Neurospora crassa OR74A: one gene and its partners. The protein of the gene in region 1 interacts with the protein of each later gene in a pairwise test. Links are inferred from orthologs where the notes say so. Each region holds a gene or a part of one and is shown on either strand. Other genes may lie near its edges.

Region 1 (3,688 bases):
GCTGGTGTATCTGGGCGCGGAGCAGCAGAGGAGGGAGAAGATAAAGGGGGCGGCAGGTGTCACGGCAACGGCAAGAAGCCCTGTCACCCCCGACGGCTCACTCTTGCAAGGACTGACGGATTCCGAGTCGTTGGAGAGTGCCTCATCAGGGGCAATCCCCCCACCCATCCCACGAGACCAGAGGCATGATTACCCTCGTCGCCACGGCTTGCGGGTTCCCCATGCTTTGAACGAAGATACCCTCCGCAGACTCGAAGGCCAAGACGGAGGAGCACAGCCGCCACAAAGACCAGCAGTCCATGACATCTATGTGCCGACCAGAAACTCCCAACGACAACAAGAGGCCCGGGATGGGCACATTGGTGGTCCTACCAGGCGAGACCAGCAAATCACTGATTCTAAATCAGGCGACTCCTACGCTGATTCTGCCCATCAGCGGTTACCGAGAAGCGACAGTGGAAGATCCTATAACTCATCCAGCGGCGGCGAAGGAGGGGAAAGACTGTATGAGCCAAGAGGAGCTGAAAGAAGAGATGTCGCCGTCGGTGATCCCTTTGGCACTCCCTCCTTGCAGGTGATATATCAGCAGCACAGCAGGAGGATACGAAGCCCATGATAATCACTGCCCCTGAGCCGACCTTGGGGCCTAGGAATTTGCATTTTACACCTAACAACAGATCTGCTGCTCGGAGAGTCGATGACGGGTTTTGACATCCTACCTGTGGGAAGGCTTGGAACACCGGGTATAGAGCCCAGGATAAACCATGACGCATCTTAACAGTCCGCAAGGGGGGGGAGGGAAGATGGTGAGGTAATTAGCCAGGGTAGTCGTGTGTCTGGGTATGGATGGAGGTAGTGAGTGAGGAGCATACATCGGCCTCTCCAAAAGTTGCATTGTTGGGCCATTCTTGCGGTTTTCTTTTGTGGGTGTTCCCTGAGATTTGTTCAAATGGGACACAGGCGGCAGACGTCGTTAAATGACTGTGATACTTGGTCCTAGAAACCGAGGTGGCAAAAACTCGGAAGAGGCGGCCGCGTCGAGAACCTAATGAGCAAGAGTTGTTGTCTCCTCTTTGGATAGGGTGTTCTCGGACAGAGGGCAGTAGGAATAAAATAGCATGAAAACTGTATCTCTGTATCGGTGTACGCCGTAAATACGAAGACGCCTGTGACAATGTTGACGGGGAGTACCATAGTGTTTGTGGTGTACGGAATTGGCATGAAGTGACAAACCCCCAGGGGTGACCGTTCGGTTCGTTGTAGCGGACCCCACAGGGGAACCATCCTGTCGCCTCCGTCATTCCCGTCTGGGCTCCACTGAATCTAGGCATCCGGCGGGGCCAATGGTGTCTAGTAGGTACCTTATTAGTATCCCGCATGCTGGGCTGGATTGGTCATCCAGGTCACATGTTAACGTGTCGCACTTCCCCAATTTGTAGGACGCGGGTCGCGCTCTTGCCTGCTGTTTTCGCCTCTGTCAACATTTGCGTATCCTTGGCTCCAGTCCCGCTCGCTTTTTTTTCTTCTTGCGCCTTTCTGTCTTGCTTTTCTGTGGCCATATCCAAGACGTTTTCGCTCGCTGCTGGTCATACATACCATCACTAAACGTAAAGAAACCCCGAAATTGTTGCACCGAAGAGCACAACAAATAGCACGATGTCGAACAACGAGGAGTACGATGAGTCTGCCAACATGGAGGACGACAGCGGGATACCAAACCCAGGCGCCCCAACACCACTTTCTGCTCTAGAGGTACGGATCACTTTCTTTGATGGATCCATCCGGATTGCAAACAACCAACTGACTTGCCTAGGGTGTTGCCGGACTTACCAAGCGAGACATTCAGCTGATTGTTGATGGAGGCTTCAACACCGTTGAATCTGTTGCCTATACCCCCCGGAGGGTACTGGAGCAGATCAAAGGTATTTCGGAGCAAAAGGCAGGGAAAATCCTGGCAGAAGGTCAGTAGCCAGCATTTGACATTCCTAGAGGTTCCATTTTGGGAGTGCATGATTACTGACACTATCATCAAGCCTCTAAACTTGTGCCTATGGGTTTTACTACTGCGACGGAGATGCACCAGCGCCGCAGCGAACTGATTTCCATCACGACAGGCTCCAAAAATCTGGATACACTATTGGCTGGTGGTATCGAGACCGGCAGTGTCACCGAAATCTTTGGAGAGTTCAGAACAGGAAAGTCGCAGATCTGCCATACTCTTGCGGTAACATGCCAGCTCCCATTTGACATGGGGGGTGGTGAGGGAAAATGTCTCTACATCGACACTGAAGGTACCTTCCGGCCTGTGCGTCTCCTAGCAGTGGCCAACCGATACGGTCTCTCAGGCGAAGAAGTTCTTGACAACGTTGCGTACGCAAGAGCCTACAATTCGGACCATCAGCTGCAGCTCTTGAACCAGGCCGCAGCCATGATGTGCGAGACCCGCTTCAGTCTGTTGATTGTCGACTCCGCGACCTCGCTCTACAGAACGGACTTCTTGGGTCGTGGCGAACTCAGTTCCCGCCAAACCCATCTCGCAAAGTTTATGCGCACACTCCAGCGCCTTGCCGACGAGTTTGGTATTGCGGTGGTGATCACCAATCAGGTCGTGGCGCAGGTTGATGGTGGTCCGTCTGCCATGTTTAATCCAGACCCCAAAAAACCAATTGGTGGCAACATCATTGCGCACGCCAGTACTACTCGCATCAGCCTGAAGAAGGGTCGCGGAGAGACCAGAATCGCAAAGATCTACGACAGCCCATGTTTACCAGAGAGCGACTGCTTGTTTGCCATCAACGAGGACGGCATTGGTGATCCTAGCCCGAAGGATATGGAGAAGATGAATCAGTAGTTTGCAGTGGGGATGGCGACAGCAAATCAACACGAAATTCATACAACAATCTAGGGACGCAAGGGGCTGCTGATTTGACGGTATAAGGATAATGTGTGTTTTTGATGGGCATAGCGCGTTTTTATTGTTAGCATGGGAGGGCAGCCTGGCGTCACACTTGTCTGGTATGACTGGTAAAACTTGGGAGTTGGTAGAGTTATCAATAACTACGGTACACTGTTTTTTTTTTCTAATACAATCGACGAAGTGAAGCCGTCAAAGTCATCTCGCCAACTGATCATTTGACCTGTGCAGAAGCAGCGTCTCGATGCTGAGGGCAAGTGTCACAGGTTTGATCATCCAAAGACCTCACCACCGAAGCTGAAGCTCTCGTTAACGTGAAGGAAATTTCATTGAAATCCAAGTTGCTGTCGTCCATACTCGTGATGCAACAGGCCATGCACCACATAATCTTCGAGGGAATGTGTCAGGACAAAAGGTACGCTCTGTGACTTGAAGTTACAGATTAAGGGCTATCATCCATCTAGCGTTGTTAATAAAATCGCGGATTTCAAAGGCTATTGCTTCCTTCTTGATGTGACGTACCACCTTGCAGTGTGTCCTATTCGCATAGTCTCTCACTAGCGCGGGATACTTGGGCTTAGCACCGAGTTTCCCCACCAACCACGCCAGCGATTGACTGACCCGCTGCAACTGCTACCGACGCTTGCAGCGTTGCGCTGTGCTTGGGAACTTGAACAGTTGAACTTCTGCTGCAGTGGGCGGCCAGAAATTCTGAAGCCAAAAGCAACAACCGCGTTTGCATCTCCAAAAAGCGCGACAGCAAACTCTCAACAT
Region 2 (4,225 bases), on another chromosome or scaffold:
CACAGGTGGCGGCGGCGGCGGCGGCGGTGGAACTACCGGGCGTCCTGCTAGCAACAGCGTCAGCAGCAACTACAAGGGCCATTCACGCCCTGGCAGCGCAGCAAACGCGGCATCGGCAATGGCAGCGATGGCGGTTTCCAGCACGATCTCTGGCAGCCGTGCCTCGCTCCATAGTCGACGCAGTGTTAGAAGCTCTTCTTTCGACTTTGGTCGGCCGGGAAGCTCGGCCAGCAGCGGCGCCCTCGGTGTCACATTCAGCGGCCCCGGCGCACTCCCCCGTCCCAACCACGCATCATCGTCCTCGAAGCTACCAGGCGATAAGATTCACATTGCCGAGTGGACACCGCCCTCGCAGTCCCTCCGGCCCAGCACCCTTTCGGAGCGTGAACAGTTTGGGCATCTCATCGCCTACGTCAGGAGTCTTGAAGAAGATTTCCAAAAGCATAATTCGCTCAGGAGTCCTATGCTTCTGGCATTCTCGCCTCGATCAGTGAACGCGGCCAAGGCGATGACCAACTGGGAGAAGAAGAGCCAGCATCTCCTCAACGAGATTGTGAAGTACAGGACGTATGTAGACAGCCTGCGCGAGGCAGATATCAGGAGGTCGGAGATTTACCGTGAAAGGGAGAACGCGAGACGCGCGGCAAGGGGTGAGGATGTGGTTGACAGTGATGGAGAAGGCGAACCTTCACCTGGTGAGGTCATGGATGCGTCGCTGGAAAGGGAGGTCAAGGGCTAAGGGACAACATAATGGATGGATGATATGGTATGTCGTGAAGAGCTTGGGAAAGAAAGAGAAAGAGGGGCCAAAGGCGTTCAAGGTAGATTTTGGCGAAGATGACAAGCGTGACTTTATGGGGACGGGGATCTTTTATCGCTAAACACCACAAACACACACACACACACACTTCCTTTACGTTATACCATGGCATAGAGCAAGCGAGCATGCATGCACGACAAATTCTGTCTATCGTTACTTTCTGGGGTGCTTACGACTTGAGAATACATATTTAATACCTTCCTGGCACTTGTCGGTCTGGACCATAGGTCTCACTGAGGAGCATTTGCGAATGCCCTCAACATAGAACGACGACGACGGCATTGTTAGGTGTGACAAACAGTGACCAATCAGACGAAACTGTGGATGATGCAAAAGTGGAGACGAACAATCAAGGGTTAGGATTGGCCACACACTGTGCATAGTACTGCGTAGTCACCTACGTAACTACTTAACAGGGAAAGCTAGCCAAGATCATGTGATACCGTGTGAGGAAGGCGCGATTCGCCCCCCACCCTTCCGATCTTCGCGTCCAGTCTGTGTTTAGTCAACATTGTTAAGGTAAGCAGGCGCCAATCGCCATCTTCCTGCCTGGAGCCCGCTTCTCAGTCTTTTTGCGGTGGTTTTTTTTTTCTTCCCCCCTCATTTGCCTTCCGGATTTTTCGGTTGTTGTTCTTTTGAGTGACGGGCGTGAAATAAAAAAACTCCCAAATAGAGAAACAGGTCTAGCGTTGTTCCTAGGGAGCTACCGAGGCCGTTGTAACAAAGCCCGTTCCTTACAGCGAAGATGTAAGCAGACACCGTAACCTCCCCATGTATTCCTATTACCATTGATCACCAACATCACCACTCTCAACATCCGGCTACTAAGTAACACTCTGGATCTCGATAGGTCAGCATCCATGGTCTCAACACCCAAGGCCGCCTCCAAGGACAACAGCACCAACAGTCTCGCTCTCACTCAACGCAGCAAGTTCCCCACACCTCAATCCCTCGACAAACTCACCAAGCCGTTCAAATGCCCCGGCTCCGCGACGCGCACCGTAGCCGTCGACCGGCCGGCACGAAAGCGCAGAAAGATCGATTATAAAGGTGCTGGTGGCGAAGACGACGAGGATGGCGCCGACAAGCCCTACACCAACGCCGACCGGCTCGCCCTCGCCAACCGCGACGCCAACAAGTTCCCCGTGTTCGCGGTCAAAGACAAGTCGCAGGTATTCCGCAAGGCGTTCTCCGTGCCGCTCATCAACAAGAACACGACCGCGTACAACCCAAACCGCCCCCCACCCACGCTCGGCCTGAGACAGGGCGCCGTCTTTGTGGCTAAGCCGCTGCATGACCCGTGCGACGAGTTTGCTATTGTGCTGTATGATCCGACAGTGGATGATAAGCCCAAGGATACGGCGCCAGAGGCCATTGAAGAAAAGAAGGAAGAACCAGAGGTCAAGGTTGATGCGCCGCTGGTGCACAAGAGTCTGGCGGAGATTCTGGGCATCAAGAAGAAAGTCGAGGGTGAGCACCCTCGTGTCCCAGTGGTCATTGATCCCAGGCTGGCCAAGGTGCTGCGGCCGCATCAGATCGAGGGTGTCCGGTTCATGTACCGGTGCGTGACGGGCATGATTGATGAGAAGGCGAATGGTTGCATCATGGCAGACGAGATGGGCTTGGGAAAGACGTTGCAGTGCATCACGCTACTGTGGACGCTGTTGAAGCAGTCGCCGGATGCTGGAAAGTCAACGATCCAAAAGGCGATTGTGGCGTGTCCATCAAGTTTGGTCAGGAATTGGGCGAATGAGTTGGTCAAATGGTTGGGCGCGGACGCTATCACGCCCTTTGCCATTGATGGAAAGGCCTCGAAGGAGGAGTTGACGAGGCAGCTGCGGCAGTGGGCGATTGCCAGTGGACGGTCCGTGACGAGACCGGTGATTATTGTCTCGTACGAGACGCTAAGGCTTAATGTGGACGAGCTTAAGGGGACTCCCATTGGGTTGATGCTTTGCGACGAGGGCCACCGCCTGAAGAACGGAGACAGTCAGACGTTCAGTGCCTTGAACAGCCTGAATGTTTCGAGGAGGGTCATCTTGTCGGGTACACCCATTCAGAACGACCTGTCAGAGTACTTTGCTCTGATCAGCTTCGCCAACCCGGATCTCCTCGGTACTCGTCTCGAGTTCCGCAAACGCTTCGAGATTCCGATTCTACGCGGCCGCGATGCTGACGCCTCGGAAGCTGAGCGGAAGCGTGGTGACGAGTGCCTGGTTGAACTCCTTGCCATCGTCAACAAGTTCATCATTCGTCGTACCAACGACATTCTTTCCAAGTACCTCCCCGTGAAGTACGAGCACGTTGTCTTCTGCAACCTCGCTCCCTTCCAGCTTGACTTGTATAACTACTTTGTCGCCTCCCCCGACATCCAAGCTCTCCTGCGCGGCAAGGGCTCTCAACCTCTCAAGGCCATCAACATCCTCAAGAAGCTCTGCAACCACCCAGACCTGCTCGACCTATCGGCCGATCTGCCTGGCTGTGAGCAGTACTGGCCAGAAGACTACGTACCAAAGGAAGCGCGTGGCCGTGACCGCGACGTCAAGCCATGGTACTCCGGAAAGATGCAAGTGCTCGACCGCATGCTCGCCCGCATCCGCGCCGACACCAATGACAAGATTGTGCTCATCAGCAACTACACCCAAACGCTTGACCTCTTTGAGCGTCTCTGCCGCAACCGGCAATACGGTTGTCTCCGACTAGACGGTACCATGAACGTCAACAAACGCCAAAAACTTGTCGACAAGTTCAACGACCCGGAAGGCGACGAGTTTGTCTTTTTGCTCTCTTCCAAAGCCGGTGGGTGCGGCCTCAACCTGATTGGTGCCAACCGGCTCGTCCTCTTCGACCCGGACTGGAATCCAGCAGCGGATCAGCAGGCGCTGGCGCGTGTGTGGCGTGATGGCCAGAAGAAGGACTGTTTTGTCTATCGCTTCATCGCCACGGGTACCATTGAAGAAAAGATCTTCCAGCGGCAGAGCCACAAGCAATCCCTGTCGTCGTGCGTCGTCGACAGCGCCGAGGATGTGGAGAGACACTTTTCTCTGGACTCGCTGCGCGAGCTGTTCACTTATAGACCCGGGACCAAGAGCGATACCCATGACACGTTCAAGTGTAAGCGGTGTAAACCGGATGGGAGGCAGTATATGAAGGCGCAGGCCATGTTGTATGGCGATACTAGTACTTGGAATCACTTTGTTAACCATTGGGAGGGCGAGGACGCGGCGGGTAAGAGTGGAAAGGGCGGCGACCCGAATGGTGGTAGTGGAGGGATGAAGAGCATTCATGATCATTTGTTGAGGCAGGAGGTTGGGGAGAGGGATGTTAGTGCTGTGTTTCAGTATATTTCTCATTGAGTGGGTGGTTTGTCCTTTCTTCTTCTTTTTTCTTTCTCTCTCTTTTCGA
Region 3 (3,997 bases), on another chromosome or scaffold:
CGCAGTAGGTTCTTCTGTTTCACTGGAATCTTTTCGTTTCCGTTTTTTGTCGTCATCGTCCTCCTTTTCATCTCTACCTTCTTCCCCATCCTCCCCGTTATCGTTCCCTTCCCTCGACTCTCGCTCCCTCCTCAAACCCGCCTTCTGATCAACTTTAGACCACGCCTTAGTTAGGGCAGTATAGCTCGCAAATAACTTGTCGATGACAATGTCGACCGCGTTGAGCTCTCTTCTCAGCTCTTTGATTTTGGACTGGGACGAGCGAAGGGTGGACTCAATGTCGAGCTGGTTGTCTGCCACGTCGCTTGAGAGCTGAGAGCCAAGGGCGGAGAGGTCGGATTCGGGGTCCGTTTCCATGGCTTTTGTGGGAAGGGCGGGTACGTGCTGGTTGATGTGAATTATCGGAGTTGTAAAGGTTAGTGTGAATTATCGGAGTTGTAAAGTGATCTGTGCTGAAGAAGGACCGGGGAGAGAAGAGGCAGGCTGTCGAATGTGGTTGAGAAGTGCCTTATATCGTTAAGGAACGATGAACTGGGTGAGCTAATAGCCGATGGAAGCTTCGATCAAACTAAAAGGAAACAATGACTACAACTGTTTCAAGCACATGATAATCAGTCGTATGGGTGCATTATATGTTGACATTATACCATTCGCATAAGTCATCGTAATAAACATACAAATGGGGACAATGAGGTTGCGGCATAACAGGATAAAAGGTTTAGAAAGGAGAATGAGCTTGCTTTTCTGTTATAACAACGCAGCCAGCAACAACCCAGCCCAAAAAAGTGGTTGTGGTGTTGGACAAACAACAACAACGACAACAAGAAAGAAGAACTACCCACCAAATCAATCCAAAACTCCGAAAGACTCCGCTAATGGATGATATGATAATCCCTTCAAGAACCCCCGCCATGAGAAACAAGAGACAACAAACCCCACGACGCATGCATGGCCGACCTTTTCAAGGTTTGCGGCTCTTTGTGCAAAATCCACTTTTAGCTTTCTCCAACATACAAGCCCCATTAAGATCCTCCCAAGCTGGCTGGCTAATCAGTAGATGACCGGTTTAGGCGGCCTGGGCAGTCTCGAACTTGGCGCCGGTGCCAGCGAGGTTGGTGGGCATGGCGTGGGGGTTCTTGGTGCGGTAGTCCTTGATGGCGGCCTTGATGGCATCCTCAGCAAGCATGCTGCAGTGCAACTTGACAGGGGGGAGGCACTGTGGGTGTTGGGTAACACGGTTAGTTCATAGTGCACGAGAGGCATAGGAGCATGGTACGGAGAACAGGTCTAGACTTACGAGTTCCTTGGCAATCTCGGTGTTCTTAACCTTGGAGGCTTGCTCGAGGGTCATACCGCGGACGAGCTCGGTGACGTAGCTGGAAGAGGCACTGAAGGGAGTTAGTAAGCTGAGCTCAGAACGTTATGGTAACACTAAAGCCTTGGGAAGCCAATGATCAAGCTATCGTCGTTTTTTAGGAATCGTAGGTAGTGAATCCGAGTAGTTCTCGATATCGTTCTCCGTTTGTCGAAGGCGTTGGAAAGGCATGGGGAGGTTATCGCTTATTCGCGCGCACACCCAAGCAGCACTGAAACCTGGGGTGTAACGGCCTGGAGGTTTCAACTTTCAGGTGTCGCATTTCTCTGCTCATCCTCCCTGCTTATGCTGAACCGAGGTGTTGTAGTTGCAACTATACGTCGATGAAACTAGTTTGTCGTCGCTCGCGTTTCATTTGATCGTTGTGTGGTATCAATTTCGTATCGCCCGTGGCTTCGGTCACTTTTTCTTGGCCCCCATGGCTTCCCGAGGCATCCGTGTCTATCAGTGACGAAAGAGACAATACTCACATGGCAGAGCCGCAGCCGAAGGTCTTGAACTTGACGTCGCTGATGACTCCAGTCTCGGGGTCGACCTTGATGTGAAGGCGCATGACATCACCGCAGGCGGGGGCGCCGACGAGACCTTCGCCGACCGACTTGTCCTTCTTGTCGAGGGTACCGACGTTGCGAGGGCGCGAGTAGTCTGATATTGAGACATGTTAGCATCTGTACATGTTTGCCGATATGCCATATCCAAGGTGGAATAGGGCGCGAATGCGTGGCCGCGATGGGAATACTCACGGTCAAGGACCTTCTCGTGGTAGGACCTCTTGGCGACGACGGCAACGGCGGGCGCAATCTGGCGCGCAGCCGGCATGACGGTAGGGCGGACGGCGTTGGCGAGAACGCGGCCGGAAACAGCGCGAACGGATCTGGAAAACATGGTTGCGGATGTGTTGATTGTGATGTTTTTGTTTTGTTTCGTTTCGTTTTGTCTTGGGTTGTTTTGTTGTTTCTGTAGGATAGGTATCGGTGATGCAAGAGACGAGTTCTGGTGATGAGTGGATGGCGAAAAGTCAAAGAGGCCGAGATAAAGAGGTTGGCGGCGGACGGGACTTGGGGATTAAAAGTTGCTGGAATTTGCGGATTTGGCTGCGGATTTGCGGGCTTGCGGCACTTGGTCGCCAAAAAGTCGATGATGACCCAAGGGGGCGACTTGCTGCACTCGGGACTGGGATACGAAAAAGAGGGGTTGGTCAGAGCTCTCCTAACAAAAGCGGAGCACAATCACCAACCAAAACAGCCAGGCTTCTGTTAGGCCAGTGACAAGACGCGCTGCTACGGACATGGGGGGCGTCATCCCCGACGTCGGCTTGGTCGGTTGGACAAAAGAGAGCCAAGACAGTTCTGAGCTCCACTTGCCGCGGAGATAAGATGATCAGATTACGGAACACCGAATGTACCTACGTCTCGCGATTCGGTCGTCGTTGACTTGGAATTCTGGACGATCACTCGCTTCCCTTGGACTTTTTTTTTCCAGCCGACGACAGATGAAAATGCTAAGCACGGGCTTCTACACTATAATGGTACTTAGTCAGGTCCTTGTTCTCTTTTCTTACCTCGTCGAATGGGCATTTCTGTCGCCGTCAAACGTACCTCCCGTCCAAAACTCTGCCTCTTGATTGCAAACTGGAAAATGACACTTTCTTAACAAACCGTATCTGCATTGTCACTGTGTAACGTGCCACAATGTTAAGAAATGCATAACAGATCGTCCACCACCGATACCTAAGCAAGCGCCAATCCCTGCTCCATTGTCCCCAGACTGCAGCACATCATCCCTGTCCGCTGTCACAATCCATGAAACGGCAGCGGGGTTCGAACAAATGGAAGGCGGCAGGGCGAATGCCATGAAGCGCGGTTGCCTGGAACATGGGGATTGGGGAGTGGTTGCTGTCCAGTGCCTGCCGCGTCAGCTAAAGTTACCCCACAACATCATACCTCAGCTCAGCTCACTGCCTGCAGCTACGGCAAGCTTCCATTTTCCTTCACGCTTCTTCCATCTTCTCTTCCTCTGCAATACAACTTCACTTGGCGGTAGACTTCATCCAACAATTCGATGACTTTCTAGTTGTACACAACTACACACCAAGAATACAGACAACATAGCTTGGTTGATTTCATTCATACATCATCGCGAATCCGCCCAACATGTCGTGCCCCCACATCGGGTCCGCAAGTAAGTCTTGCTTATTCCATGTTTGCATGCTCTTTGGAGCTCAGCTCAGCTTCCATCATGTGTGGTGCGCCTCTAACTCAGGACTGGACAACGTATTTCTGACACACCGATTCTAACAGACCTCGCGAAGCCGTCGCCTACCGACAATGTCTACCGCGAGGATTGTACCCAATGCTTCGATTCCATTGTCCGTACTCTATCCTGGCCTTTCCTCTCTTCTTCTAGCCCCATCTACCATGTCCAGCCTAGCAACTAACCGCCTCGCTGTAAATAGGACGACCCAGCTGGTCTGGATGTCTGCTTAAAGTGCTTTAACGGAGGCTGCGCTGGCGACCGGAATCACGCAAAGCTCCATGCCACCTCGCGAAACCACCCGCTCGTCCTCAACATTCGCCGAACCCGCAAGATCATCGAGCGCAATGAGCCGCCTCTCAAGATGTC

Evidence for each region. The genes of interacting proteins can lie anywhere in the genome.
Region 2: the proteins of mei-3 (region 1) and mus-25 interact in binary tests that used the Schizosaccharomyces pombe proteins (3 or more experiments, as listed by UniProt). The link is inferred for Neurospora crassa OR74A from reciprocal best matches to the Schizosaccharomyces pombe genes rad51 and rad54.
Region 3: the proteins of mei-3 (region 1) and NCU05778 interact in a two-hybrid assay, tested with the Schizosaccharomyces pombe proteins (2 studies listed by BioGRID). The link is inferred for Neurospora crassa OR74A from reciprocal best matches to the Schizosaccharomyces pombe genes rad51 and isu1.

Annotation. Positions count from the first base shown.
Region 1 is NC_026501.1:3,388,678-3,392,365, forward strand, and holds mei-3 (MEI3), read left to right. Parts: upstream 1-1,438; 5' UTR 1,439-1,656; coding exon 1,657-1,752; intron 1,753-1,813; coding exon 1,814-1,961; intron 1,962-2,033; coding exon 2,034-2,851; 3' UTR 2,852-3,122; downstream 3,123-3,688. Other genes in the region: NCU02740 (hypothetical protein), read left to right, coding at 1-616. UniProt on the Schizosaccharomyces pombe protein: Required both for recombination and for the repair of DNA damage caused by X-rays. Binds to single and double-stranded DNA, in the presence of magnesium, and exhibits DNA-dependent ATPase activity.
Region 2 is NC_026507.1:2,823,223-2,827,447, reverse strand, and holds the start of mus-25 (DNA repair and recombination protein RAD54), read left to right. Parts: upstream 1-1,324; 5' UTR 1,325-1,565; coding exon 1,566-1,567; intron 1,568-1,670; coding exon 1,671-4,176; 3' UTR 4,177-4,225. Other genes in the region: NCU02347 (Sec7 domain-containing protein), read left to right, coding at 1-739. UniProt on the Schizosaccharomyces pombe protein: Plays an essential role in homologous recombination (HR) which is a major pathway for repairing DNA double-strand breaks (DSBs), single-stranded DNA (ssDNA) gaps, and stalled or collapsed replication forks.
Region 3 is NC_026507.1:3,797,100-3,801,096, reverse strand, and holds NCU05778 (iron sulfur cluster assembly protein 1), read right to left. Parts: upstream 2,491-3,997; 5' UTR 2,261-2,490; coding exon 2,119-2,260; intron 2,021-2,118; coding exon 1,846-2,020; intron 1,389-1,845; coding exon 1,298-1,388; intron 1,217-1,297; coding exon 1,067-1,216; 3' UTR 602-1,066; downstream 1-601. Other genes in the region: NCU05779 (hypothetical protein), read right to left, coding at 1-357; NCU05777 (ubiquitin carboxyl-terminal hydrolase 14), read left to right, coding at 3,529-3,556, 3,676-3,743, 3,831-3,997. UniProt on the Schizosaccharomyces pombe protein: Scaffold protein for the de novo synthesis of iron-sulfur (Fe-S) clusters within mitochondria, which is required for maturation of both mitochondrial and cytoplasmic [2Fe-2S] and [4Fe-4S] proteins.